2 linked regions of the Oreochromis niloticus genome follow. The protein of the gene in region 1 purifies or fractionates together with the protein of each later gene. This does not show direct contact. Links are inferred from orthologs where the notes say so. Each region holds a gene or a part of one and is shown in the gene's direction. Other genes may lie near its edges. The genes, in order: lin7c and rho guanine nucleotide exchange factor 26.

Region 1 (15,474 bases):
AAGCCCGGTTATCCTGCGAACAGACAGCGCAGCAGCCCGAGAGGGCATATGTGTAACCTTATCCTCGCGTTCATTAATAAAAAACGGAGTTATTATGTTGATTGGGTTTCCAGTGGGGAGCACGAGCTCAGCAGATGTAATCTCGAGAAGAAGAAGAAGAAGAAGAAGAAGAAGGGGGGAAAAAGTCTGTGGTTACATTATTGGAGCAGCCAGTGGTACATATAGGTAGGCATTTCTCCATAGCTAGCAAAGTGGAAGCCGTCCAGTGTGCATCTGTGTGGACGTTTTTTTAAGGCAACTTTACGCGCATAAATTGCTCAATAAACTCTCTCCTCCGGCTGTTTGTCTGCATTTGTTCGTCCAAGCTTGGACCCTCCTCCTTCTCCACCTCCTCCTCTGTGAGAAAAGAGACAGAAACACTCCAGACAGTTTTTTTGTATTGTTGTTTTGTTGGAGGGAAAAAACTTTGATGAACTCATTAAGACTTTATAGGAAACCCGAGACCTAAATGCCTAGCTCGGTCGGCCAACACACACTGTTGGGGTTTTTTGGCGGTGTGTGCTCGTGTTAAAAAAAAGAAAAAACCTCACAATAATTATGGATTCAAACAAAGTGGGAGGAAACTGGCCCATATGTGGTGTGAAAATATGTGGTTCAAGAAGTAATCTCAGATTAATAGATGGTTTAATGACGAATTTTTTTGATGAACCATTCTTTCCGATGATAAAAGCAAATTGGGCTTGTAACTAAACAACATCCAACTTAACTTTATAGATGTCTTATATGACTATGCCCTGGAAAAGACAATGGTTGTCCTATCTATCTATCTATCTATCTATCTATCTATCTATCTATCTATCTATCTATCTATCTATCTATCGTATTTCATGGGGAGGAAGGAAAAACAGAGGGGAGAAAGGTGGAGAAAGGGTGGAAGAAAACGAGCTCAGACTATTTGACGGTCTCATATGCCATCTAGTGTACAAAGCTGGGCACAGCAGCGCTGTCAGTGTGCAGCCGCAGGTCTGTTGGTCATTCATGGGTTAAAATGAGGATTTCTTCGCTAAGCTTACAAGAACCTAAGCACATCAGTAAGGATTTTACCATGCTGTATGTTGCTGTTGTATCTTCTAAAGTGCCCACTGCTGCACGCAGTGTGGGAGGGAGTTAACAGCTCTTTTGGGTAGCATAAATCACTCAGCAGGTATTTGAATGCTGGGCTTTCTGTGGCAGTGGCTGGGGTTGGCCTGGCGGCCAGGTATAATCCTCAGTGATGCTCATGTATTAGTAAAACGTGCTCTGAAGCTGCATCAGATTGAAAACAGATCTCAGGAAGCAAGCTTCCACATGTGTCAGCCATTAATGCAGACAACACAATTAAGTCTAAATGCCTGTTTTTTTTTTTTTCTTTAAGTGCTGCAATGTAGTGCACAAGGGGTCCTAGGGTAGCCATTTTGATAATATTTGCTGTACTTTTCCTGCTCTCAAACTGAACATTTGGCTTTGTGTGTTATACTTATTGAGCGTGATAAAACATGTTGCCAGGTAAACTGTATTCTTGAGGAATTAAACAAAGATGGATGCCCACGAGGGAGCAGAGACAGAGGCAGAGAACAAATGTTGCCATGGGGTCGCACATTTCCATTCAAATGTGGTAACCGCACTTCAGATCTCCTCTCTTGATGTGTTTTTTTTCCCCATGCGGTGGCTTATAAGATATCACGCCTGCCGTTAGTAAAGATGTGCATAAAGTGTGCAGACATGTGCGTGGAGGCTGGGAACGTTACTGTAGTATGTAATAACACTAGCCACGCTAGTCCTTTCATGCTGTAGGGAAACTTTTCAGCGTCTGTCAGAGGAGGCATTTATCACTTTAATCCCCACCTGGCACAAAGAATAACTGCGAGGGTAAGTTACATATCCCTGCCATACAGCCGTGCTCTCAAAGCAGATGAACAGGTGGTCATCTGGAGCTAAACAGAAGACAGAGTCCGCACACTCACCTGCTGCTATTGTTCGGGGTGTTTCACGCTCCAGGCGTGCTGTCATGAATAAAGGCATGTTTGAGCAGCAGTTATTGTGGGCTTTATTTTCCCCTGTTCATGTTATTAGCTCAGTTCTCAGCATGTCATGTTTAGATGGCTGTGCATTCTTTAAACAGTCAGCTCAGAGGAAACTGCACCTTTCTCAAGCACAAGTTGCCACAAAGCTGATAACTAGAAGCTCCAAAGGAGGGGGGGGGGGGGAGTCTTATTCTTCCATATGTAATCCATCCCTTGCTTTATTATTCATTGCTCATTCTGTTAACGCTCGGGACGCTTTTTTATTAACTGTGAAATCCGCATAAAATCTTCAGACACTGGATGTTGTCACATTTAGCCTCTCACAGATATAAGCCAGAGATCCTCCGCCGGTCCCACAGCAATTAAATGATTCATTGGCTTTATCGCATTTTAACAGGATGTTGATTGAGAGCATAAGCCATATTGATTGTACTGATGGAAACAGGAAATCAGCGAGATAGAAATAAAATCATCTGTTGTTCCCGGTGTGAGGATACACGGGGGAATGGCTCTGCAATTGCACACTGTTGAGTGGCATTACCCCCAGCAACCTCTCCCCCCCTCTCCTCCACCCCACCCCTTCTCTCCATTCTCTCCCCTATGGAGACCTGGAAGAGACGTCATCTGTGGTTGTTATGCTGCGAAATGACGCTGGCACTCTCTCCACCCCCTGCTACTGCAATATTACCCCTGTGGTCTGTTACGGAAGATGCAGCACTCTTCGTCTGCACCATTTCCAGCATGAAGTTTGACGCCTAACAGTAATCAGCCCTCTGCCTTCATTTCCCTCATGTGGAAGTGGAACCATTTGAGCACGATGCTGATAATAATATCAGCCTAAATGCATCCTACACATAAAGCTCGTGACTGGCCTCGATCCCGTAAAAACCTACACGATTCTCAGTGCTGGGAAGCCTCGCAGATATCATTTTAACCACAACCTTCGCAACACCGAAGGGTTAATGAGCCATAAATGGAATTTTGTTAACAATATCCGAGTTGACAATTAGCTCTTTATTCTTGGCTTTGTCCTCGTTGTAGTTGGTGAGAGGAAAAATACCCACCCCACCACCAGCACCACCATCACCACCTCACTGCAAAACACATACAAGCCAGCCCCTCCCCATGCCCTCCCTCTAACACGCACACTCACACACTCCGGAGGAGCACGTCACTGAGCTCAGGGAATGAGTGGCTCATTAAGAAGAAGGATGTGATATTCTGAATAGAGACTGTGAGACTCCCAGCACGTCTATTTTTAGACGAGATATCTCTATGGCAGTCACCGTGGTGTCGGTTAATTGCAGCCACAGCCCCAGATACCAATTAAGAATGAAACAAATGCTTTTAAGGTGGGGTTTCGCTCCTCCCTATACTGTAAAGGTCCTTGTGTCCATTCTGTGAGTGGAGGCTGGAGCAGGGGCTCGCTCTCGCCGTGTTTTCCTGTGTCAGGCTCGGACATGCAGAGTGCAGTCAAAGCCTCGGCCAGGCTATTTTTAAATGAGCCCCTGTGGAAGGCAAGATCTAGATTTTTTTTTTCTTTTTTTAAAAAATTATGGGTGTTTTTAAATCTATGTCCTTTGGATTCATTGATTTGCTGTGAATCTTAGAGCTTCTCAGAGGTAAGGGACGCACACATGCTCAGGTAATTTTACAATATGTATGTACAGTGTTTCAGTTTGGTTTTGCATATGTTTTGAGTTGTTCTCCAGAGCCTCGATAGCAGTGCTTTGCACGGCAGGATATCACATCATTCTGTCATTCAGTTTCCTGTTAATTCATCCCGCAGTGCTCTCGCCTTCCACCTGCCGAAAACAAACAGTGTCCCTCAACAAACCCATAGTTCCCATTCATGACTACAAGGTGTAGTACCTGACCCGTCCTACAGCACAGACCAGTTTTTTTTTTCTTTTTAATAAAGTAATACTGCAGCATCAGTGTTTGCCAGCGCTGACACAAACACACTGACTCTGTTAGGAAGTGCTGTCCACACCGGAGGTTCCCGAAGTGTTAATACTGGTGATTTGTTTGTACGGTAACGTCACGGTCGCGTATTCGTAACGCGGGTTGGGGGGGCGGGCATAAATCCATCCACAAGAATTCAACAACTACAGGATGAAGTTTAAGAATGAAAATCCTCAATTTCCTTACCCAAAAGCAGGGGGGCAGCTGTGAGCTTTCAGTACAGCCAAAAAAAAGGAAAAAAAGAAAGAAAAACAGCCAATTATTCCAACAGAAAGCCATGATTGGCAGGTGTGGCCATTATAAATATACACGGCACCGTGCCTTTTTAACAGACCAGTCAAAAAGCTGTTAGGATGTTTCGACATCTATTTGTGTAATCTTATCTTTTGTAATAAGCAGCCGCTCTGATGCTCAGCACAGCTTTTGTGCATTGCTGCCAACAAATAGAGATCTAAGCCAGACCTCACATAGGAACAGAATGATTACAGTTTGCAAACAATTTGAAAACACCGATGACACAGTGCCAATATCAGTTTAATAAAAACATGTTGTGATTATTCCGAAGCTACTGGCTCCAGTTTTTTGGCTCGCAAACAAAGAGTGGAGGGTGGAAATAGGAGGAGAGGCTTACGTGGTGCATTATGGATCAAAAATAAGCTAACTTTGTTGAAGATGCTCTTTGACTGACCATCTCGTTCTCTCGCCCTCCCCCAACCCTCCTCTCTCTTCTTGTTTTCTTTCTGTGTCTCTCTCCCGTCCCTCCAGTTCCACCAGGTTAGAAGAGTGATGACCATCCTGTTCCTTACTATGGTTATTTCATACTTCAGTTGCATGAGAGCTGCGCCCCTGAGAGATGCCCCGGGCATGCGGGGCCATCGGACGGAAGGCTACTTGGGCGCTGCTGCAACGGCCGAAAGAGGCCACGGGACTCCCCAGAGCGGTGGAGGGCCAGGCCAGCGCGGGGAACTGCCCTCGCTCACAGACACATTTGAGCAAGTGATAGAGGAGTTGCTGGAGGTGGAGGGCGAGGCGGCGCAGCTGGGACAGGGGGCCGATAAGAGCCAGGGAGGTGGTGGCCCATCCTCTGTAGTCACCACGGAGGCCAAGGATGTCGATCTGTACAACTCGCGGGTGATGATCAGCAACCAAGTGCCTTTGGAGCCGCCGTTGCTCTTTCTCCTGGAGGAATACAAAAACTATCTGGATGCCGCTAATATGTCCATGAGGGTGCGGCGACACTCCGATCCCTCACGACGTGGAGAGCTCAGTGTGTGTGACAGTATTAGCCAGTGGGTGACAGCTGTGGATAAAAAGACGGCAATAGACATGTCCGGGCAGCAAGTTACCGTCATGGAAAAGGTCCCTGTCCCCAATGGCCAACTGAAGCAATACTTTTATGAGACCAAATGCAACCCCATGGGGTACACAAAGGAGGGCTGCAGAGGAATAGACAAGCGGCATTATAATTCCCAATGCAGGACAACCCAGTCCTACGTGCGAGCGCTTACCATGGATAGCAAAAAGAAGATTGGCTGGCGGTTTATAAGGATAGACACTTCATGTGTATGCACATTGACCATTAAAAGAGGGAGATAGTGTATAAAATGTATAGATTTTATTGAAGAGTTTAAAAAAGAGAATAAAGAGAAAATATCTATTTGTATATATACATAACAGGGTAAATTATTCCGTCAAATGAAAATTTTATGGACTGCATGTAAAAAAAGATGAAGTTTATACAGTAAAAGTGATACTACAGTCTATTTATTGAACATATTCATGACCTTGTAAACAATTAAAAAAAATCTGATCAGTCATTTGCGCCCAGTTTAAATTACTATGTCACATTCCTCAAGACATTGTGATTTGTTTAGGTTGCCAAGAATTAGAAAAGGAAGGAAAAAAATTAACAGGCAAGAAATGAGGGAGAGAGAGACAAAGAGGGAGACAGAGAGAGAGAGAGAGCGAGGACAGTTCCATCTTCAAAAGCTTGCATGCTGCTTCAATTGTGAATCGATAAATTCTCCACTTACAGAAAAAAAAGGATATGATGCTGACCAAAAAAAATAATAAAAAAAACATTCCGTTTACATATTCAGCAGAAAACAATTTCCTCTCAAGTAATTTATCTGTTTACTGTTCTAAACTTCTCAAGGTAATGTTGGAATTACATACTATGTCAAGGTGCTGTTGTCAAAGCTTTGCTGTTTATTTTTTTATCCCCACCAGAGGACAAGATATATATATAAAAAATTATATAAATATATATATATATATAAAATTTATTCATTGACATGTTTCTGGGTTAATATTATTCATTTTGTATGTTGTGAAGTTGTTTGCAATATTAAACTGAAATATTTGAAGAAATAAAAATGACTATAGGCAACTGAAAAACAAAATCAATGTCGATAAAGTTTCAACGGTGCATTTTTAGGCAGGGTAAACTTTATTATACGGACAGTCGGCAGGCAAGGAGGGAGGAGGCACATATGCACACATGCATGCGCACAAACCGCCACATGTCCGAAGCATGAAAGAGCAGAAATTCAAATCCTGAGCAACAAGAAGTGATGTTTTAAGATAAGAAAATGAGTCCTTGCTTTGGGTCACTCACAGATAACCAGTGTTAGAGTACAGAAAGCAGCTCCTGGTGTCATTCAGCTACTTCAGGAAGGAAAAGAAAACGGAGAAAGAGAGAGGAAGTGCCCCTAAACCGCTTCCTGCTCCCCACCAGCACATTTTTTCAACACAAGTTTATGTGCTTTGGATCTTTGGTGTTCATACACAGGTGTTCAGAGCTTTTGCTCCAGCTGCACGTGTGATGTCGCACAATTACGAGACCCTATTAACACAAGAAAAGGGCCTACGCGTTCAAGTGCAGACTAGTACAAGTGGGTAGACTGCCTGAGCTTGACAGTGATGGATTCAACCACCCATACATTTGTGTACATTAAAAATGTACACCCAGCGTTTTGTTATTAGTGCGCTGTAATCCCAGCTTTAACTCCTCCACAATAGGACAATCACCACTGATTTTTTTAGCTCTAAAGTCACTGTGATCAGAAGGAGAAGCCGATCTCCATAACTGGTTTGGCACCTGGGTTAAAAGACTGCCGAGGCTTTATATCAACTTTCTCCCTCGGGCAGATAATAACTCATTGCAATGCATGCCTGCCAAGTCTGGATTCCATAGCTTAAGGTTTTAGTGGGAATACAATAAAATATGTTCAGCGTCTCATCTTCGTTACATAAAACATTTCCAGAACATACTGCAGAAAGATTAAAAACAACAAAAATGCATAAACAAAATTTCTTCAAAACACCAGCGATCCCTTATGAATGAACACAATCACCTCATTTTACCACGCCTCCATCAGCCTGAAGGTAAGTGCAAAGACAGCCAGATCTGAAGACGGTGAAGGAAAGATGGGCCAGTTTCTTCACTTCCCTGCTTGGACCCTTCACAGAAGCCTGATGATGATGCTGTGAGTTAATATCATTAAAAGCAAAAAAGATACCGAGGCTTCTGCAACACAAACAGTGGGAAGACGAACAATATCATAAATGATCTGGTCTTCAAGGAAAATCCACCTGAAGGTATAAATGGGAATGATTTGGTAAAATTCAAGCACTATCCCGTCCTCAGCACGTAGGACAATGAATCAGCCATTCAACATTTTAGATAAGATGATAAGGATGTGTTTTGTTTATCATGAGCATGAGCCTTAGGCTACTATTTTTTACAAAGTTCAAAAAAATAATCTGCCAATCATACATTTAATAAAAGAGTGCATAAAGGGAGGCAGGGTGAAGCCCGTGGTGTTTTTCAGTGTGACCATAAATCAGGCATATGAGTGAATCCTACAATCTTTTAGGAAAACAATGGGCCTACTGTGTTAAGAAAAGAACAAAAGCTGCTGCTCACCAAGTCTTTAAGCGTGTCTACTTTATGCCACGCCCACATTCGTGATGTCACATTAGGTATTTTTCATCACCTGTCAAAAGATTTGCGTTTCATCACCCACTGGGGTGTGGTCAGGAGTGAATCATGCTCTAAAGTTTCAGGATACAGAGAAGCAGTGCAGCTGCAGTTTTCTGCATTCATGGAGGCTCAAAATGTGATGCAGCTCACCAGTAGGGGGTGGCAGAGAGAGCGCTCATATCAGACGTCAACAAAAAGCCAAATAAACCTTCTTCTGGTTGGCCCTTGTTGTGGCAGTACATATTAATGTAATCGTCCTTTGAGCTATGTCTGTGGAGGCTGAGCGAAGATGTTAAATGGAGTTCTCCACCCCTCGGGTTGTTAAATGGTAATATGGAATCTGGGTTTGGATTCTAGCCAACGAGACCTTCAGTGGGCTATATGCATGGCACAAAAATATCCCGACTCTCATTGTCAGCATCAGCAGTAAACATAATAAAATCAAACCGCTGTGCTTAAAACTAAATCTGGCATTACTAATATCCAACATTTGAAGCTGCTAAGGTGTACGTTTGGACGAATTAAAGAAAGGACATTTGTACACTAAAGCGAGGTGGAATATTGGTAAATCTATGTGGCTTATGTATGTATGATATATCATAGTTTTACACCAGTAGTCGTCTAGTAAAAGGATAAAGTAACAAATACAAACGCAGTGACTTTAAAATGTGATTGAACATTCCGAGTTCACAGTTTTACGAGGTTTCCCTGAACGCATCATGACACTGGCAGCTAGCCTAGCCGGCTAACTTGGCTAATCTGATTTATCGTCTCAGTTAAGCGCACATAACGCCAGCCAGGATTACCAAACTTAGTTTTCAGTATTTTTCCTTTTAGCGAACTATCTCCCTAACGCCAAACATCCTCTCATTTCAATAATGGCATCGCTTGGGGAGCCCGTGCGATTGGAAAGAGGTGAAGTTAATTAGCTAGCTAGCTTTAGCTTAAAAATATTTGTTGTGATATGCGGGCGACATAAACCTAGCCTAGCTAGCATTAGCTCATTAAAGCAGGCGGCTTATTTTTGTCTGTGTACTCTGTTTTATGGTGGGATAACGATAGAGTAGACATCTTGCGGTTAATTCTTGTATGATTATGTATATATAGTCACCCAGCTAAAGAAGCCACAGCTATTACAGCTACATTGTTGTACTTAGCACATTAGCCACCTAGCTAATATTAATGACAACAGACAGTGATTAGCCAATCTGGCTGGTTTGTTCACTGTATCTTACCATAAAAGAAAGAAGATTTTACAGTTACGCTGGTTGTATCATTATATTAATTTTTGCGGCCTGTCTGTAAATAACATAAGTTCTGGGTGTGTGTTGCTGAAATGTGCAGAGGAAGCCCAGATTTGTGTGTTAGGTTAAACTTACGGGTTACACAAGTAAGTACACACGTAAAACTTCACGATTAGAAATATTTAATAAACTTGCAAATGCTTATGAATTCATTGCTATTAAAGTAAGCTGTACATTCGCAAAAACAAAATAAAAAAAACAAAAACGTGATGCCTGCTGCCTCATCCCGTCAGGGGTGGTTAAATTTACTTTATAAAAGGGGTGTTACTCTGAGAGTTGCTTTATTATTGCATTATAGCGATTTGTACTAATTGTAGTATGTTCTGGTGACCGTGGGAGACAAGCTTGTCCGGAGCATATCTATAATAAGAACAAATATAGTGCAAGTAAATGTAAATTGTAACAGAAAAAAAAGGCTGCAGCTTTAAATGGGTGCCGACTGTGCTCTGACGCTGATGTGGGTAACTCTCACTGCCAATGTTAACATCTACATTTGCAGGCCTCAGTAATGGTTATGTACATGTTCTTGTTGACAGATATCAACCGTGCTATTGAATTGCTTGATAAACTCCAGAGGACAGGGGAAGTGCCTCCCCAGAAGCTGCAGGCACTGCAGAGGGTCCTACAGAGTGAATTCTGTAATGCTGTCAGAGAAGTGAGTCTCTTTCATCTTGTATCATTCAAAACACTTAATTAAGAGACATTAGTTTACAGTTTGGAGCTTAACCGTCTGCATCCCAGTAGAATTCCCAATAGAATGCTCCAAAATTAAGAGAGTGGAAGTCTGGTTAAAAGTTAGTTTAAATTTTAAGGTCACTAATAGCGCTTTCTAGCTATATATGACCATTTAAGATTTGTACATTTATGTTTTCAACATCTCTTTACCATTACCTCTTTGTCCTCCTCTTCTTCATCTGGCACATCCACCCCTCCTCTCTGCTCCCTAACCTCCAACTCATTCTCTTTTTCCTCACCTCACGCCTCATCTCCTCAACTGAAATCGAGACTCTAACATAATAAAACGTGCATAAACATACTTATTCGTTCGCGATAATATCACATTTAGTTATCATCAGCAGATTGGGTATGTGGCCCTGCCGCTTTGGGACAGCTGATAGCCAGACGGCTATAAGAACAACAGCTAGTGTTATACCAGATAACGTTAAGCTAGAGAGTCTGAAAAATCACATTTTCCCTTTGATAAACATTTTCACATCATATAAGTCCCCTTTTACAAAGCTTTGCAGCCTCCTCGAAATTGATGTGATCGAACGCTGTAAATAGTGGACTGACAACCATCACTATTTACAGATGTACGTCAGCCATAGTGTGAAATAAAATGTAAAATATTGCAAAATACTTAAATTGCACAGCCATTTCTTTTTTCCCCTGATTTATTGTTAAGTGTTGACTTAACTCAAATTGTTAAAGTATACTGTGTACAAAAGTGTTTTTGACAGTCGTAGAAATATGCTGGCTGCCCACAGCTGTTATGGTTATAGAAAGTTAACCCTTTGGTTTGGTTTGAATTCTTTGTGTTCGCCTGTTGAAATATTGTCCACTAATGTCTCCTCAGGTCTATGAGCATGTGTATGAAACAGTGGACATCAACAGCAGCCCCGAGGTCAGGGCCAATGCCACAGCAAAGGTAGACAGTTGTCAGTTACTGTCTGAACACAAGATTTGGTCTTTTTGTAATCTTAATTTCAGACATTTAATTTCTTAAAATGGGTAATTTTGTGCTTTGACTGCAGTACATACAGACGAGATATCTAAACACCACTTTCCTATTTGTAGGCTACAGTGGCAGCTTTTGCAGCAAGTGAGGGACACTCACATCCACGAGTTGTGGAACTGCCCAAGACAGAAGAAGGGTTGGGTTTCAATATAATGGGCGGAAAGGAGCAAAACTCACCAATTTACATCTCACGGATCATCCCAGGAGGCATCGCTGACCGACATGGAGGCCTGAAAAGAGGGGACCAGCTTCTCTCAGTGAATGGAGTGGTGCGTTTGAATTCACAGCATGGTTTACATTTTAGACTGAGCCTGAGCAAATTCTCTATTTCAGATTTTTTTTTAAACAGGCAGATATTAGAAATAATACATTCTTCAAAAAAACTAATGCACAGCTAGATTTTGTTTCAGGATTTAAAAAAAAAAAGGAACTGCAATAACCGTGCAAAAATCTGGGGACCCATCTACTTGTAAAATCCTTGTTTCTGAACTTGTTACACCATAATTTATTAATGAGAACTTGTAAGGCAGGTCAACAACTCTCCCACTCGTCAAACTCTTCTAGTAGTGCCTTAAAATGAAGCTTATTAAAGCCTAGTAAACAGGGGAGTGCTATAAGAAGATATCAGCTTGTAGCTTGGAGTTGTTGGCAACAGTTTGTCCATCATAGGGAGTGACAGGATTCAATCAGTGGAATTTGCATCAACAAAAAACAAAATCAATAAAATCCCCTGCCTGTGCTCACCTGTGCTTTTTTTTATGTTCAGACTTACATCATCATGTTGGTTGATTATTAGCCATAGAGTCTGACAATGATGGCCATTTACCAGCTAAACCTTCTTCAGTAATCCATATTACCAGTGAGCTGGCACGAAGCAGCTGTCAGAAAAAAAACCTCAGAAACCCTGTGGAGTCTTTGGCGTCTTCTTGGTGCGATGGAAAAACATTTCCTTATGTCAGTGACAGGAAGCTGTCAATTTTGTATGTTTAGAAATAATAATAATAATAATGGTAATAATAATGGTAGTAATAGTATATTGATGTAAATAATGAATGTGTCAGGTTCCTCTTGTAAAGCTCTGGAAATGTTAATGTGTTCAACATGTTTGTTATGGCTTAAAGATGGACACAGTGAGTGCTGATGGAACACTGAATGTAAACGTGCCATGCTATTGTCTGGAAGTGTAAATCTCAAAGATCAGCCAATAGCAATCATCCAGTTGACTTTGTTTATTGCTCAGCTTGTTCCCTCATTAAAATTTCCAAATTGCAGGCTGTTATATGTGAACAGCTGCTAGAGCTTATTTTGGAACTACATTCACTTCAGTACATATAAAACTTTTGTTTACTCAAAAAGTGGCCACATACCTCGTTGCTCTTGTGTTTAATAATTGGACCCAGTAGGTTAATCTGTAGAAATCATGGACTTTTATCTGTTCCTGGTGAAATCTTAAAGTCAATTTCTGTGTTTCTTTTGCCTTTAGAGTGTGGAAGGAGAGCACCACGAGAAAGCTGTGGAACTCCTCAAAGCAGCTCAGGGCACAGTGAAGCTGGTAGTAAGGTACACCCCCAAAGTCCTAGAGGAAATGGAGTCACGCTTTGAGAAAATGAGGTCGGCGAAGCGCCGGCAACAGAACAACTTTCCCAAGTAGGATTTTCCCATGTTGATGCCCAGCTCCCATGTCTCTCCTCCTTTAGCCTTCTGGCCATCTGTTCTGATCCCTTTCTCATTTCCCTGCCCCCGAAAAAAGAACAAAAAAAAGAACACGCTCCTGTTTAGTTTTAGCTCATACATACTGTATATTGCGCTTCTGCCCTTTTCTGTAGCATTTTGATATTCACCATCGTGTATTGTACTAGACACTACAACTCTAGACGAACACTAGGAAGATCACGATTGTCAGTGTGTGTCACACCATGTGCATTATTTTTGAATTGACAATTTGAATGCAACTTCTGAGACAAACTATACAACTGCTTTGACTGAAAAGGTAGTGTTTTTCAGTGATTTATCAGAGCCACTACCAAGTGCCTCAGGGCAAACACATTTATCTTATGTACTGTTTTTTCCTTTCTCTTCTTTCTTTAACCGTTTAAATTTCTGGAAATTAAACTGTTGTGGCAGGAATTAATTCATGCTTTTCACCTGTTTTCTCAGAGACTGTAGCTTTAGAGGTGCTGACGACAGTCTAAATTAGTTAAAAAGTGATAAGTTGTTAGATTGGTATTATGGCTACCCTACAAAAAGTAGCAAAAGTGCTGGATTATGTTTGAGCGTTCTCTCTAGGCTTACCCTGTAAGACTTTAACATCATGCCACGCTATAAAAAGCTCCAGTAAGTGATGTAATGGGGTCTCAGCAACTCGTGAACTAAATAGCTGACACCACAAAGACTCGCACATTTATCAAAAAAAATAAACCCTCGAAACTCTGGAGTCAGTATGACATGAGATGAAAGTCAGTTATTTTGTTTTGACATAAATGAGGAATGTACTGTGTCACATTTTTACTCTGCCGGTGAAAGAACTTGATAAGAAATCAGTTATCCAGTGACCATCAGAATAAGATAAAATTAGGCATTTGTAAAATCCAGCTAGTCAGATGCCTACAGTCTCTGTAAGGCCCTGGTCATGCAAGCCTAGAAACCAAACTGTGACCCCCTGGCAACCACCGATCATTAGGGAAAAATGTGTATTATCCAGCCGATTGGAGAGTGTTTGCTGGAGATTGCTGGCTATCTGTGAAATCGACTGCTACAGCCTCATTCACCAAGGCTAAGAGGCTTGTTAGCAAATCCCTGGAAACCTCTGGTTGCCAGGGAAAATAAGTGTGCTCCCCAACCGGCTGGCAAGTAGTTGCTGCCAGCGACTACATGAAATGATTAACAAAGAGGTTTGGTTGTTAGCATATTGCTGTAGTTTGCATGGATAATACCAACTTACCTCCAAATACTCGCCAACTGTTCACTGAGTGAAATTTCAAAAACTGTGACACAAACCAGAAGCTGATCCATTTGCGCTTTTTAAACCATGTTGACAGCAATAGTAAGAAACAACTTTTACTTTGAAGGGGAAAGTTCTCCAAACTTGCACTCCCTCAAGTTTCACTATCGCTCAGCGAGTAATTGGCGAGTGTCTGAGGTTTTTGGTGCAGCGCCCTCTTCGGAGCTCATTTCCCGCTGCTTGCAAGCACTCACCAACTAGTCGAGGAATACACTTTTCCCCCTAGCAACCAGAGGACAACCAAGGGGTTGCCAACCAGCCTCTAAGCCCGTTTGACCAAAACTTCAGTCACATTAATGCAGCATGTGAGTTTTGATCACTTGTTCAATGAATGAAATGTTAGTACACATACTGTATTTGTGTTTGTAATCTTTCATCAGTTTTTTTTCTTACATTTTGTAACTTAATATCTAGCAAGGGATGAAAAAAAGCAAATGTTTGATGACTTTTTGTATTCTCATATCGCATTCATGTTAAAGGACAAAAGACAATACAGGTGCTTGGGTAAGATCTATCGACAGCTACTTTAAAAAAAATCATTTTTTGATGCTTGTAAAATGTTAATAAAATGTTAGTAAAGCCCATATTTCAATAATTTACAGCAATAATTTCAAACTTGGTCTTGCCTGCATGTCATTACCAGTTTATTTTCCATTCATCTTTGCGCAAATAAGTTTTTTCTTTTTCTTTTTTCTTTTTTAGGTGGGTTGGGCACAAATGTACTCATATATAATATACAAAATGCATATCATAAAAATGAGAATGATAAACACTTTATTACCAAATACTGCCAAACAATCAAGTTTGTTCTGATGTGAATTGTTAAGCAGGCAAATCACAAAAAAGTCTTAATTGTCTACAGTATATTTTAATGTGTAGGCTGCCACAATTACATGTACACTTAATCATGTTCCACATTTTATAGTTATGAAGTGGCTGCATGTTTAGCTACTGTGTTGATAGTCATCATAGGGAAATCTTCATTCATTTATATCTATAGGCCTACATCTCAGTCAAACAAGTCCACAAGTCTTGGTTTTCTCTTAAAAATAAAATGTATTGTTTCATTAAAACATCAACTCAGTAGATGTCTAATCATCCACCTTTTTTGGCAAAATATCTACAGGACAGATTTAACTTCAAAGATTTATTCCTAGAGGTTTTTTGTTTGCAGGGTAGTTCTAATAATGTGTGTACAGAATTATGGAAACCAGGCTTTTGCTGACTAAGCCATACTATTGTCCAGTCTCAGGATCAACACCTGGCATTATTGAGACAGGAAGGTAGTAATGTAAAGGTAGTAATTCCTATCAGTGTAGATTAACCATCCGATGCCAAACTGTTCTTCAGAAGCGAACCGTTTTAGTCGAGAGGTAGTCTTATGAGCATGCTGCTGCTTGGCGTGTGCGGGCACGATG
Region 2 (15,728 bases), on another chromosome or scaffold:
TCTAGATCTAGTCTATTCATTTTTCATGCAAATGCTTCTTGTAAGTTTTTATGGCCATTGTAAACTGAACTGCTATCAGAGTTCTAATTTACCTACGACATATGTCAGCACGCCAACTACAAAGTAAGTTAGTAAACGCTGTAAACATTATGCCTGCTAAGCATCATCATATTCCTATCACTGTGAATATATTAATATGGAATAATAGCATCTGTCTGTGAAAATGGTTGCACATGTACAGTATATACCAGAGACATCTTTTGAAACAAAAGAGCAAACCTTTTTGCAAATATTTGACCATACATGTATGTATTTAAAAGGTTTCATCACACAGTGCTGTGTTCCAAAGAGCAGGAGATGATGACTGGGTCCTTGGAGTCTGGACGGTGGTGCAAAGTAAGCAGATGGCTGACAGAGACTCTGGACGAGATGACCGGGACAACCCAGATGAAGTGGAGAGATGTCAGTTGCCTGAAAGGCAGAGTGACAGCTCGCGATGAATAGAAAGAATAGGTAGTAGATACAGACTGACTTGTAGAGCAGGGAAATTGGATCACTGGACAAAAGTAGTGATGATTACATTTTAAATGAGGTGAATTGGATAGTGTGGAGCATGGAAGTGATGTTGAAAAGCAGCATCTCTAGGCCATATCATCGAGAGCAAAGAGTCTACATGTATGACAGGAGAACTTCATTTCTGATCTTAAAAACATTTAGTACTTTGACTCTTTGTTTAAAATCGAGTAAGCAGAAAAAAAGCACCATCTTCTGTAAAAGAAGTCTATTCACAACCCAATTATGTTCCAAACACTGCTCTGAATGCACTAATCAATCAATCGATAAATAAATACAAAAAACAAAACACTATTATGTGTTATTGTTTTCAGTGAATGGAGAATCTGAATGGACTGAATGGGCAATAAATGGTGTAAATACCATTTAAAAATGTTTACGCATAACAGTGAATAAAGGATGCTTAAAACACACAGATTATATATTTGCTGGCCACTTTGTTAAGTACACCTTGCTAGTACACTGGCTACACTATGGTCATGAGGTAATGGACAATCAGCAATAATACTCAAGAAGGCTTTGATGTTCAAATGTTGCTTAATTAATACGAAGGTGCCCAAAGGGGCCCAGAAAAATATCCCCAACACCATCACACCACCACCACCACCAGCAGCAGCATGCACTGTTGCAGGATGGATCCATGTTTTCATGCTGTTTATATCAAAATGTGACCCTACCATCTCAATATAATCAAAATCAAGACTCAAGATTTCTTTTCCAGTCTTCTGTTGACTAATTTTGGTGAGCCCATTATAAAAATTGTAGCCTCAGAGATGGTTGTGTTGGAAAATCCCAGTAGATCCACAGTTTCTGAAATATTCAGATCAGCCCATCTGGCACCGATAACCTTAAAATTCACTTAAATCACATTTGTTTTCATTCTGACACAGCTGAGTATAGATTTTGTATGATTATTATTATTTTTATTTGTGGGGTTTTTTTTGCTGTTGAAATTTGACAGTTTAGCAGTAAAGAGACAGAAAAGAGGGGGAGAGAGAGCAGAGGAAGACGCGCAGCAAAGGGAAGCAGGTCAGATTTGGAGCCTACATTTTAGCCTATATGATTATTTTAAAATAAAGTTTTATGTCATATGATCCATTTCTGAAGTATCTCTAGAACGCAGTTATGTTCAAAACCCTGGGTTTATTTTTCTATTTACAGAATCAAGCTTAACTGTAAGCTTATCATCTCTTTAAAGAATGAAATCAACACAACTAGAAAAAAACACAACAGCATTTCTCGATTTTTCTTTCAATGGGTTTTAGATCAGCTGAATCATATAAGGGTGTAGCTTTAGATAGCATCAGATAACACTAGACATACTAGAGAAGTAATTGGAAAGGTTGGGGATCCGAGCAGGTTGGAGTCCAAAGAGTCCCTTTGATATGTGACTCTTAAAATCTTCCTCACTTCACAATCTGTGGTGGCATAATAAGCACCAATGGGACTTATAGAACTTGTGACTGAAAGGCAAACAAAATGTCTTTGGTGTTTCAGAGCTTTAAAACAAATACCGGATCTCTCATTGATTACAAACACAGAAATGACAGAAATGAGAACAGTTAATGTGCACTTAGATCTACTAAAATACCAGAGAAGCTGCAGAACAGACAGCTGAGCATAACAAATGCATGTTTGTCTCAAAAATACAGCAATCATATAAGACCAGATGGCCTGAACAATGCAAGATGTTCAAAACTGTTTTATAATTGATGAATATTTATATGCCAGTTTATTGTCAGTATGAAGGAATCTATTCTAACAGACTTTAAGACTAGAGAAATAGCTCAACCAAAACAGGATAAGGACACCTTTTGAATAAACTGGAAATTCAGTCCATCTAAATGTAATTTTCTCTCTCTACTATCTCACTAGCTCTTGTTTCTCTCAGTCAATTTAAATGCCTTCAACTGATTATAGCTGACATTATTTCAGATGTCTGGGCAGTTCTATACTCCTGAGCCATCCCGCTGATCTACCAGGAAGGCTGATCCAAGTGAAAAGCTATCATACACCAGCTCTGTGAGAATCACACACCTTTGGGTCTGACACGTCTCCTCTTAGGACACTAGTCTGAACATTTTGCAGCTGTCACCTCCAGCTTTGAGCTAATTTTGCGTTCTCCCTCCATGCCCAGTAGTGCATGTCTCAATGCAACTTGCCAAACAAGATGACGTCATCATCCTGGGGCAAACAGCCAATGGAAACCCACAGGGGGGAGTCAATCACGGGTCATCGCAGTAATCTAGGCCAATCAGCACAAGCCAAAAGGCCTGTAACCATGGTGATTAGCTTGGGTTCAAATATGTGTATATGTGGCAAATACCCCCTGGGTTGGTTCCATATGTACCAATGTACATAGTAAGCATTTGGCATCGTAGACTGTGGATGAGGATGTGTATTAAAAGGAGACAGAGTTATGAGCTGAAGTGGGTTCAGTCATGGGACAAATAGTGAACTGCTGTACTAGTTTTGTAACATATGGCTTATGCCATCAAAGCATCTATCAATATATCTAAATATCTGTCTTTTTTTTTCTCCAGCTCCTGCTGGTTACACACTTTGTCAGCCTTTGTAATTTATCGCTGTGGCAATTACAGTCGTTACCTCTTCTCTGTATTGTTCTGCGAGGAGGATGGCTGAGGAGACGTGTGGGTGGCCGTGAAGGATGAGGGGAGGGGAAGCAAGGACAGCCAGCAAACAGCACTGCTCAGTAGGAAAACTACAATAGGCTGTGAGTCAGAGGAAAAACAGGAGTGAGGAAAAGAGAGGTATGCTCAGGAAAGGTCAGCTTGTGGAGGGCTTTTTCAAAATGCCAGAAGACTGAAAAGCGCAGGAACGCTGTGCACAGTTCATCTCTGTGACTTACATCTTTAATGTTCATATCTGGCTTGGAGGAATTCAAGCATGTACAATAGGATAAACAGAAAAAAGGGGGAGGAAGTGCTGCTACTGAGGGAAAACATAAAATCTATCAAATGACACAACAGTGTGAATTTTTTTCCTAGAAAACTTTCAAAATGTATCAAAATCCATTTCCTTAACTGGTTATTCAATTTAGGGTCAAGGTAAAGTTGGAGCATATCCCTGATGTGACTGAGCAAAAGCCAGGGTACATCCTGGACAGATCGCCTGTCTATCACAGGGCTGACACAGACACCCAGACGACCATTCACACTCCTATTCACACCTATGTTCAATTAAGAATCTTGTGTTAACCTTAATGCTGTTAGCGGTGGGTTTGAATCTACTGGCCTACTGGCCTATCTGGAGTTTGTAAGGACTCAAAGCTTCCTCACAAAGACATGGACGTGTTTTACACATAATGGGAAATTAAATATAGGGTGTTACTCTTCACAGTTTACTTTAATTACTCGTCTGTCCTACTTCCTCATGTTTTGATTATCATTAACCACACAGTGATCACAATGGGAAATTATCTGACCCTTACATTCCTCACCCAGGAAACTCTGTTTTTAATCCTTATTATGTGCTTCATACCCACGGTAAATTAATCATCATTCAAATAGTTTAACAGTTGGTTGTTTGAGAGATACCACGCTTTGTGAGTTCTACTTCATTCCTGTCACGCTACAGATGAATGAGATTGCATCTGTGGTGCTCACAGACTTGGAAAAAGATCTCTGAAATTAAACAACAGTGTGTCTTTGAAAACATGTCCCTATCTGCATAATGCACATATCTTGTTTTGAACAACTGGAACTTGTTGTTAATACAAAAGAAGCTCTTATCAAAAACCACTGACGGAGACGTGCGTGATTGTGCAGAGAAACCTGTTTCAAAGCATCGCCTGCAGTTGTAATTCAGTTCTTCAAAGCAGAAACCTAAAGAGAATAGCAAAAAATGCATTTTGGGTTTGTTTGTCCTGAAATTATTAAAAGTCTTGACATGAGAAACCTCCTCCCCGCTTAAATTGAGACACTATTGGGTCTTGTATTGAAGAAAAAGCCCTAAGGTTGCTTTTGCTGAAAATGAGAGAGCTGATTTCCCCATGTAGCTTTAAAATGTGATTTCAAAACTTAACACTTGACACAGCAAAGTGCTGCAGAGATCTCTCCCTAGCAGAGTCTGACACAGTTTTATGCAAATGCACATTGCACTGGCGAATAGTTAAACCCTGCAGGTTAAGCGGCTTAAATACAAAAGAATGAAGGCTAAGGCAATAATCCTTGGCACTTGGTATAACAAGATACTCTTTTATTTCTGTAATTTACACTAAATTTAGTCTATAAGCCTATTAAAGCATTTATATGCGAGTTTTTCTTTTAATCTTGTTTTTTTTTTTAATTTACAGTTATGGATAGATATTCTTTGCCTTAAATGAGGATCTGGATGAAAAATCTGCTGCTTTTTTGCAGAAATAATAAGAAGTGTACATATACTAGAAATAATATTTTGTGCTAGCATTTTCCTGATTTAGAGAAGAAACCAACATTGAGGCAATGATAAACAGTACAGTGTAGCAACAATGGAGCTAGTTTAGCAAGCTGCTGCAGGTATTACTCATTTCTAGAGAAGACTTCATAAATACATACAGAGCAAGGCCAAAAAGACATTTGTGAGCCATATTAAGGGAACAGGGACAGGAACCCTGGAGGTTAGTGGCACTTGTACTTTAAGACCTCGACATTCCTCAAACATATATATATTTGAGCCATGATTTAGATTTTGAAAACACTCCTACAAAACCCTGCGTGTGAACACATCTCACCTTGACGCTTAAATCAACACAACCTGTCTGTTTCAAGATGACATTTAAATTCTTCGCTGATTTAAATTAATCAGAAACGTCTTCAGGTCTTAAGTATTTATTGGTGGGGTGCAAAGACCGAAAGAAACGCTCCTTTTCTTCCTTTCCACAGTAATTCCAGCTGCTTTTCTAGAAACAGTTGCCTTTCAGTAGCATGACTTTAATGCTCTCTGTCAGAGTTGTCATTTTCACTCGCACCACTTTAACCTTAGTTCTGCTTGTTGTACCTCTGCTGCTCCAAATCGTTTTGAAGCATGCTCTGCTCAGACAAGCACAAGCCCACACAGAAAGACTGAGATAATGCTCTTGCCTTATCAATCACAACATTTACAAAGAAAAACTTGGCATCTAAGATCAGCCAGACATAGCTTACCCCTAAAATGTTTCTGTTTTTTACACCTCCCTTAAGAATTTATCACCAACTCCTTATACTCTACTGATTTTTACTAGTTCTCCGTTTATAAAAAGGCTATTTGGGATTTTTTTTTTTACATCCCATGCCACAGGGGGGTTGTATTTGGATCTTCCAGTTGGAGGAGAGTGTCTCTGATGGTGAAGTGGCTATTTTTTTTTTTTAACCAGACAGTGTGAGGAAATATATAGCTCTTTAAACAATACAACAGGATAGGCTGCTGCACTTCCTCAATATAACATGATGAGGAAGACCCACATGGGGCCTCTATGACAAATCCAGTCATGGAAACATAAAATACACTCACGATGATGCAGATTTTACTTTGAATTTACTTAATAAACACTGTGCTGGTGATGTTTCTTGTGGTAACATTAACATGGTTCTGGATTAATGTAGGTAATTTCGCAATTTTGCATAAACAAGTGACTAACAGCAAGAAAGAATACCACGACTATTATACACACTTTTTGAAATTTGTAAATACAGCAGAGATGACAGTGATTCAACTATCTGACCTGTGACTTACTCAAGGTTAAAGATTTAGTCTCCTCTGCAGTATTGCACAAAAGTCTTCTGCTAGGAAAATAAGAAAGCGATGCAACGGTTTGTTGACATGTGCAAACATTCGTGGGAATACAGTGTATAAGAGTTTGCACAGTTCTAACCAGCATAAAAGTCAATATTTGGTATGACCATCTCTATTATTCAGCACAGCCTTAACTCTCTTGGGCAGCTTTCTTCTAATATCTTTAGGTAGTCTTCGGGAATATTTCTCCAGGCTTTTTCAAGGACATTCAAAGCTCTTCTTTAGATGTGGGCTGCTTTTTGTTCTGTCCTCTGTCAAGATGGTCCCACACTGCTTCAATAATGTAAAGCTCCAGGGAGGCCAATCCATGACTGATGGTGTCCCACTGAGTGTTTTCTATCCAAGTATGCTGATGCTACATTGACAGCATGTTTGGGATCATTGTCACACTGAAAAATGAAGCTGTTGTCAATCAGATGTTTCCAGATGTTGTGTCAAAATATGTCGGCACTGTTCTGTATTCATGATTGCGTCAGTTTTGACAAGATCGTCAACACGACTGGCTGCAGCCCTAAACCATGACAGCACCTCCACTGTGTTTCTCAGATCACTGCAGACACTCACATCTCCTCCGACCTCCTCTATACTTGTTGACAGTGATACAGTATTTATCAGTCATTTTATATTTGGATTCATGACTGCATAAGATCAGTTTGTGTGTATTTGGCATACCTCAGCCTTTTCTCCCTCTTTTCCTTCCTTAAGGACTCCAAAAAGCCACCTTTCCACTCAGATCATTTCTGATGAGGGTTTGGTGAAAAGAGTAGGCGAATCAACTGAAGCTCCAGATGCATCTCTCAGGTCCTATGTCAGGCCTTTGCTGAATTTTTTCCTATTTATTGAGGACATGACTTTCAGATGTTGTTTATCAGTTTGGTTGGTCTGTCATAAGTTTTTTTTTTTTTTTTTTTTGTTATGCTTGCCACTTCTTTTGTTCTCCACTTGTCCAGCTTCCTCAATTTTTTAAGGGCACAGTATACATCATGCCATGATATGGCAAGTTTTTAGAAAATAACAGTTTGGGAACCAACTTGGTGGTGCAAAAGTACTATTTCAATACGGTCAAACTCTGCTATCTTTGGCATTCTTCAGAGATTCAACTAAAGATGTGGCAACAAGTGATATGTTTTTGTGAAAGGTTGCTAGTAAGAAAGTGCCTAAAGAGAAATTGGTTCTTTGCTAAGTTGTCTATTATGTGTAGACAGAACGCCCCTGCGCTGGGGGGGGGGGGGGGGGGGGTTAAACCTGAAAGATTCATAGAGCAGTTAAGTGGCTTGACAAAAAAAAAGAAGTAAAATAATAAATGATAATAATAATAATAAATAGATTTCTCTGAAAATGACTGAAAAAGACACTGGTGTCTAAAGAAAAGTTTCGAAAGATTCTGAGAAAGCCTGTAAAGGTATCATGAAACTATTTAAGATCATGTTAAAAAAAAATTAGAAGACAATCTGGTAAAAAATAAAGAAATGAGGGCTAGCTCAAGAATTTTGCACAGCACTATATGTGTTTAAAACACAGCAGTACACAACAATACTGACAACTGGCTGCAGGAGCAAGCTTTGCAAAGTTCTGCAGGAACCATTTTTTTCTTTTTGTGTATTATTGTGTAGGGGACACTTTTAATCCTGAGCATGTTATTATTTCAACACCACCTCAGTCAAACAGCAGCAGGCCCACTCTTACGGATGATTCACAGGTTATGGAGAAAGTGTAGACACGTGTTTTGGCGGACTGCAAGCATACAGAGTGTAGCATGTGATCAGTGCAGGCTATAAATAACTTGAACTCGGTTTACACTTAATAGGTTTCCCAGTGTGTGGAATGATGGTCGACCTTCTGAAGTCTCCTCAGAGTACACTTCAGTTTTAAGAGCAGTGATGAGCAGTAAGCGCGACAATCGCGCCCCTTGTTGGTCAAATACATTAAGTACTGGCGAGCTGAATGCGCCACACATTACGCCCTAATCACTAAGCACATAAAATTTGGCATGTGCTTAGAAGATTTCGTGAGCGGTTAAACTGTGAGTCATGTTTTTGAAGTTAAAGGGGAGCATTTTGTTTAATGCGTTTGTATAATAATAGAAAAAAAGAGAAAACTTATTCCACTGACAGTATTGCGCAACGCAGAAAGCGGCGATGCATGAATTAACCACAACCACGGATTGCAAAACACATTTTATTTGAGTGGGAATGAAAAACTATAAATCCTTCAGGGGGCTTTATTTACTCGGTATTTTTAGAAGCCTTAGCAAATGCCATTGCAAAACAACAAAACGGCGGGGACATTCTATGAATTCCACTGCTAGAAGAAGCTTGAAACGTAGTCATGGGTTTATTATGGAGCAAGAAATTACTCGACACAGTCCAGGAAATATTTGGGGGTAAACACCGGTGGTTTTATAAAAGGGGGGGGGGGTTATATTTTCCCGATATTTTCCTCCAGCTGTCTCCAACAGCTTAGAGAACTACCTTTGCACTCATCAGTGCTGTACAAATAATTTTCATTGACTGTTTATCACAGATCATCACGGCTGGGAAGGCCTGATGCAGTTGCATCACAGAACACACGATGGCGCACAGCAGCAACAGGTAAATGTTGTTTATATGCTTTCTGTGGCCACATTCCGCACTTCACTCTGTAGAGTTAATAAAGCTTTAGGTATTTAGATTTCTTTTTGTTCCCTTTCACGTCACGCAACAGCATCTTTTGACTGGCCCCGAATGTATTCTTAAGCTTAAAAAGCGTCAAAACTCTTCATTTGTTGATGAAGTTAGACTCTTCATTTCCAAAAAGCAGGCGTTCCAAACATAACAACAAACAACAAACAACAACAAACAAACAACAAAGTAGATTCCTTTAAAAAGAGAGAGCGATAGAGAGGAAAATACTGCTGTCAAACGTGTTTGCTCCACTTTTTCAAATTGATCTTGCCGAATAAAAACCTTTAAAATCTAACAACGCTTTATTATTCGATTCACATAAAGTGTTTCCTGTTACTTTACTTTCAGAATGTTTTCACGTTTACGATCAAACCGCACTGTTTGTCTTTCGTGGAAGTCTCTGCTGATCCGTAGTATGAATCGTTACTCTAGCAGGTGAATTTCTGTGAACTTGGGAGTGCCATATTTTTTTCTTACTCTGTTCTGGTTAGCTCCCCTCCCTTCCCCTCCTCTCAGTCATAGAAACTCCCCAGCGCGCACAGAAGCGCTTCAGACGCGTTCAGTACCCCCGCACGCGAGTTTCTTATCGGTCAGTAACTTTCGTAACTCTGGTTTCACAAACCTTTATTTGTTGATTCAGCGCTGAAAGCACGTTAATTTTATCCGTTTCGCTAAAGAGGGCTGCCACTCGAGAAGGCAGGGAGGATGAACGGATTCTGCATTGGATCGACTGATTAAAGGTAAGTTGGAGACACTATAACCTGTGGGAAAAAAATCTTTTATAATCTCGCTGAAAAGCTCCCAGTTACGCGCCTCTTTATAGCTATACGCATTTTTGCAGACAGAAAAACAGAGTTAAAAAATCAGAAAATTGTGAATTCAGATTCTGAGAAGATAAAAACAAATGTGGTCTGTAAAGGCGCTGTTGCTGCTTAACATTTTTGCTCTTTTATAGTAGTTTAATTGCAACATTGTCTTGTAATTGGGGCATTCCACCTCGGTGAACATTTACAAAAGGGCTGTTTCTCTCCTCACTGGCTTGCTTATGTGTGTTCTTTAAGTTTAGCTGCCAGTATCAGCACTAAATCCCTGTTAATGATTAAAGTCTGGGAATTCGGACACCACACTGAGTTCTTTGATATTGATTGGTATCTCTCTCTTGTTTGTTTTCAGGGTTTTTTTTCTCCCGACACCGAGCCACAGGTTTGGACACAGATAGGGAAGAAGAGACACTCGCATTTCAACCATGGATTACGGCAATGATGTAGATTTGTCCAATAATAATATCATGCCTTTGTGGAAACGCCGCACTGATAACAGTAAAAGGCCCCAGGACTTAAGCAGTCCTAAACCACGGCCCCACAGTTGCCACATAAATGGGGTCATGAAGACAAACTTCACTGAGGAGGACAACAAATGTTCCTTCACCTTGAGCCAGCCTGCTGAGAGACTTGTGGTCACACCCCAGTGTGTTGACAATAACACAGCGGTGTTAAAGCATGTTTTACATAAACCCTCAAAGAAAAACAGAGTGGTTCGAAGCATCAGCATCAGCCACCTCTCCAATGGACGCTTGTTGTCCAAATTTAGGTCTGAGGATAACAAATCCGCTTCACTGGACAATAGGGTATATAATAGGAACTCTGACGGGGTGAAAGCGAGTAATGGGGAGATGATATGGCCTGAAAAGCATCTCTGGGATTCACAGACATGCATGTCCAGTCTGTTAAGTCAGAGTTCTCAGAAGGGCCAGATTGCGTTTCAGAAGAATTCACCTTCAACAGAAAATACTCCTCTTAATGGTTCCTCACCTGTCTTTTCACCAGACACTCCTAACAACAACTACAACCAACCTGAACTGTCCTCCCTTTCATCCACATGCAGCTCATCTCCTCCAACCCATCGCATGCTCACCCCCTCCTACAGCTCCACCTCCAGCATCCCCTCCCTCAACTCCTTAACCTCCTCAGACCCCCCAACCCCTCGATCTCCATCGCCAGAAGACAGAGGGCAGGCACTACTCAGGCAGTCCCAGGCATCCTCACCTATATCCCCACAGGACACCAGGCATACCTCTTCATCTTCTTCCATGTCTTCCACATCACCCTCACCGTCACTCTCCCCACCCATCTGTCCCTCTAACGGCATTGTCCTAAGCACCCATAGCCCCGCTGCTCTCAAGATGGGTACCCAGCAGCTTATTCCCAAGGGCTTAGCATCCGATATTCGGCAATGCAAGGCACCTTCCCCTGGGACACAAGCTCAAGGATCGGCAGGGCTGCTGGGGTTGGATCATTCCAAGCGTTCCTTGAAAGCCCTGAGCATGGTGGAAACTGGAAGCTACTTTTCTACAGGAGGCCACAATGAGGGGGAAGATGGTGAAAGTGAGAGCCCAGGGGCTCTTAGAAGAGGCTTGAGGACTACATCCTACAGGAGAGCAGTTGTGAGTGGAGTAGACTCAGAGGTATCAGCAGCAGATCCCAAGGGCCATCGGCTGTCCCACCCTGTCATCAGAGGGCTAGGCATGGATAAATCAGATTCACTAGTTAGCCCAACAAGTCCTGGCTCTATAAGTCTGCCAAGTGTTGGAACCAACAAGCCTGACAGCCCCATGACACCCAAAGATGTCAGCACCAAGAATTCAAAGTCTAGCCTTGGAACAGAAAAGACTAAAAGCAATGGGAAAAACAAGGTGAGTAAATCAGTTTGAAAGAACAGAGTGGGGTCAAATTGTACGTGTTAAGAAATCACACAAATTTAACACATTTGTCATTCACATATAGGGGAGTAGGAGAAATTTAAATATTCAAATCAAAGTCTTAATATCTAAATATTAATTTTAATTGTGTTTTTTCAGAAGACAGTTGAAAAAACAACAAGCTTTATATATAATATAATTAATAGAATGAATTATTGTGTATTTTAGTATATTCAGGTGACTTTAGAGAACAAGCTGTAGAGAAGTGCCATAAATGATCAATTTTAGAAAAGCAAGCTTTTAGCAAATGATAGTTGTCGAAATCTGCAATCAGTGAATACTCTGTCAACTTTTGGCATTACTTTTCCCCCCTGTTCTGTAGCACATTAAGATTTCTCAACTCGGCAACAATCCCTCTGATGGTTTTATATTTAATTGTGCACAGAGATTGCTTCATGGTGGACTTTTGTTATCTGGGGGGGGGGGTGAAGCTCAAATTGGAAAATTACAACACAACCAGTAAAAGTACAGTGGAACAAGTTTGGTGGCAACAGCTGCAGAAGTTAGAACAAGGCCTTATAAAGAAACAATGTGGTTGCTGGAAGACATGACGCAATATGACACTGTCCCCACACATACACTTAAATACACAGAGGCTCTGTAATTAGCCAGGGGTCACTGAAGGAGGCAACTTGAAAAAGGGTACGAACAGGTAGTGAACAGGTGAAACAAGTTTCTTTCTTTAATGGTTTGCATGTGTCTCTACTTGGTTTTTCAGAGTTCATTAAACCCATTATGCTGTTTTTTTTCTGTTTCAGAGTCCAGATAAGAAGAAGGTTTTGACCAGTCAGCTGACTTTTGACAGCGAGGGTGAGAAATTCTGTTTGTGTTTCTGTGTTATATTTTTGCTATAAAGGATCAGAATAAAGAAACCCCTACACTTTTACATCTGTGATTTTGCAGAGGAAGAGCTTTACCAGAACTACAAGGAGAATGCATTACATAATGACTCAGATGAGGATCCCGATTCCAGGGAACCCAAACCTGATAACAACATTGTAGTGCAGTACAGGCCCATACGTACCTCCTGGAGCCAGCTTAGTGTGGTAAGACATAACACACACAGACACAGTAGTAGTCTTTGTTCTTCCTCTTATATTTTAAACTCTTTCTGCATCTTGGAGTGTGGTTGTGTAGTTTTGGAATGCTAGTGCTCCAAAGAATGCTGTCATATCCAGTTTGGCCACCATCTGTACCCATCCTCCCACTGCGTTCTGCTTTCCTTTGCCCCTCACTCTGTTTATCAGGGAGTACACGAGCAGTTTGTCAAGGGTTTGTGCAGGCTGGGAGTCAGACAGGCCCACAGGAAGTCTCGGAAGCACTGCTGGGATTAATGCCAATGTGTTGGCAAACGCTGTACGCTCGTCAGACTGCAAATATGCCTAAAATGTTGCCTCCGGGGAGAGTTGTGGTGGCTTTGCATTACATAATGTAGTTAAGGATTGGAGTTGAGGGGCAGAGGAATATAAGGGAAGGGGAATTGGCTAATTTAGTTTTCTACTAATGCATCCCCATCTGTTTGTTTACTGGTAGAGGATGGAAAGTGTGTGAGCAAAAGCAGGCCGTAGCCGAGATTGAGGTATTGAGGATTGTACTGTCTGCACATGGTCTCTAATAAGTAGGAGATTGGATTGAAGGCTGAAAACATTGTAGAGAGACTTTTTGTTTTGTTTATATTTATGTCAGCCAGACACTAAAGTGAACTGAGCACAGACTGACCGGGATTCTGCCAAAGTAAGCTTTCTTTCTATCACAGCTGCTTTACAGCTGTTCGTCTTTGTGAATGTGTTAGAGCCTTCAGCCTGTGATCTAGTTCTGAAGAATTTTCTTTACCCTACAGATTCAGGAATACTCGTGTGATTGGTGATTGTCCTGGTGTGACAGGAATTTTTTTTTTCCAGTGGAGCCGAGAACCAAATGTACAAGATGTCATCTTGTGACTCTTGCTTAATCCTAACTCTCAGCTCCACCCTTCTATTATCAGTCTCTCATCTTTTTGATGAAATGTCACATCCCAGAATTGTCTTGGTTCCAAGAATTACCATTCACGCTTTCAGAAGGTGCGGCTGTTTTGGAGCGATCTTGTTCCGTGGTTTCTAAATTACCTGAAGGCAACCTAATCAAGTCAATAAAGTAAAAAAAGGAATTAATAGTTGCCATTTAATAATTACACTTGATTAATTATGCTCAGTTTCAACCAGAGAAGGATGATGGTCAATTGGTTGAAACCTCTTTGCTCGTACAGGGCAATGGAAAAACGGGCTGCCAGGAAAATAGGAGCAGTATCTAGTAACACTGATGGCCGTATGTGTGAGAGAAATCAAATAGTGTGTGTTTGACCTGCTTCAGGTTTATTTGTTCTCAGTGTTTGGAGAGAGCTGCAGGGCAGATACTCCTGCAGGAGTATCTCTTCCTTATTGCTTTGCACAAAAATGGGTTGAGGAGCTAGTGCAAGTAAGGGAAACTATCTTCGGGATTTCTTGTTGCTTACATGTATCGGTAAAGTATAATGTGGTTGAGCCTCTGGTCATGTTGATTAAATCTGGTGTAACGCAAGAAGGTGTTTATTACTCAGCCTTGTATTTAGTTTGACAAAGCCACAGGCTGATTAATTCAATAGCACTCCACACCCAGTCCATTTCAAAAGGTTGCTTTGTTTCAGTCTCATTCAAACATCTTTCGATCAAAGCTCTCCAGCCACATGCCAATGCAGTTTCCTTTCAGCCCAATTCCACTTTCAAAATGAGCAGAAGTGGTCCCTGTTTAATCTTAGTGTTTGGATCCAACAAATTTCTATACTCCTGTAGTGTTTCTTGCAAAGAGTGCCTTTCTTTGTGCTCCTTAGATATGAAAAAAGGCAACAGCCCACACCTGTGCTGTGATTGCATGTAGTTCATCGAGTGTGAATTTCAAAAACGATGCAAAAAATTTTTCTGACTTACTGTTCGTTTAGGTTAAGAAAAGTGGCCTGTGTGAGCAGATAAGTCAAGAAGAACGCAAAAGACAAGAGGTAGGAGTCGTTCTATACTTTCTAGCTTATTTTAAGTTATTTTTTCTGATTCATACTTTAAGTAGTTAGATGTGTAATTACTTTAAACGCCTACTTCATATGATTGAAACCCAGAGTCATCATTACCAGGACCTAGTGGGATAACTGAATCCCAAATATCTTACTTTGATGTTTCCTCTCGGTTGATGTGTCTCTTGCTCCTCCTTAGGCCATTTTTGAGGTGATCTCGTCGGAGCACTCCTATCTCCACAGTCTAGAGATCCTGATCCGCATGTTCAAGGATTCTCCAGAGCTCAGGGAGACCATGACCAAGACTGAGCACCATCACCTGTTCTCCAATATCACTGATGTCTGTGAGGCTAGCAAAAAGTGAGTGTAGCTGTTGTGTAAGTAGATTTGTTATCAGATGAGCACCTTTATTCGTCTTCATATTTGGTACTCATGCTGTTGGTTAAAAGAATTTGTTGGTTTAGAGCAGGAGTGTCAAACATAAGACGCAGGGGCCAGAATCGGCCTGGGAAAGACTTCAGTCTGGCCCACTGGATGGCTTTGGAAAAGTGAAGGAGGACATAGATTTTAGACTTTAAATTGTATTTCCATAAGTTTTAAAGCTTGTCATACTGATAAAGAGACCCCCCCCCCCCCCCCCCCCATAGTAATTTATACCACACTAAAGTAATTTATTAATAGATAAACAATTAAATAACATAAAAGTTCCTGTTTTTTCACTTCTACCTACTATAGAATATGTATATTTTTCTACTATTGGTCCACAGTAAAAGAAATAAATAACAAACAAAAGGACATTTTTTTTTTTTTTTATGAATTCACACAAATCTTCAGTTTTGTGATTACAGGTGAGCTATCAGAACTTTCTCTGTAATTTTACAGATTTATTTATTCTTGCTGACAGATTTCTTTCATTTAGTATAGCAGCATTTCTTTATCATGT

Evidence for each region.
Region 2: the proteins of lin7c (region 1) and rho guanine nucleotide exchange factor 26 purify together in Homo sapiens (affinity purification with mass spectrometry; 3 studies listed by BioGRID and IntAct, counting the BioPlex papers as one, with this or other methods). This does not show direct contact. The link is inferred for Oreochromis niloticus from reciprocal best matches to the Homo sapiens genes LIN7C and ARHGEF26.

Annotation. Positions count from the first base shown.
Region 1 is NC_031965.2:17,984,208-17,999,681, reverse strand, and holds the start of lin7c (protein lin-7 homolog C), read left to right. Parts: upstream 1-8,714; 5' UTR 8,715-8,891; coding exon 8,892-8,928; intron 8,929-9,853; coding exon 9,854-9,972; intron 9,973-10,893; coding exon 10,894-10,965; intron 10,966-11,114; coding exon 11,115-11,324; intron 11,325-12,538; coding exon 12,539-12,706; 3' UTR 12,707-15,474. Other genes in the region: neurotrophic factor BDNF precursor form, read left to right, coding at 4,794-5,624. UniProt on the Homo sapiens protein: Plays a role in establishing and maintaining the asymmetric distribution of channels and receptors at the plasma membrane of polarized cells.
Region 2 is NC_031979.2:24,504,232-24,519,959, forward strand, and holds the start of rho guanine nucleotide exchange factor 26, read left to right. Parts: upstream 1-9,519; 5' UTR 9,520-9,748; intron 9,749-10,181; 5' UTR 10,182-10,254; coding exon 10,255-11,700; intron 11,701-12,524; coding exon 12,525-12,576; intron 12,577-12,669; coding exon 12,670-12,812; intron 12,813-14,719; coding exon 14,720-14,776; intron 14,777-14,984; coding exon 14,985-15,145; intron 15,146-15,728. UniProt on the Homo sapiens protein: Activates RhoG GTPase by promoting the exchange of GDP by GTP. Required for the formation of membrane ruffles during macropinocytosis. Required for the formation of cup-like structures during trans-endothelial migration of leukocytes.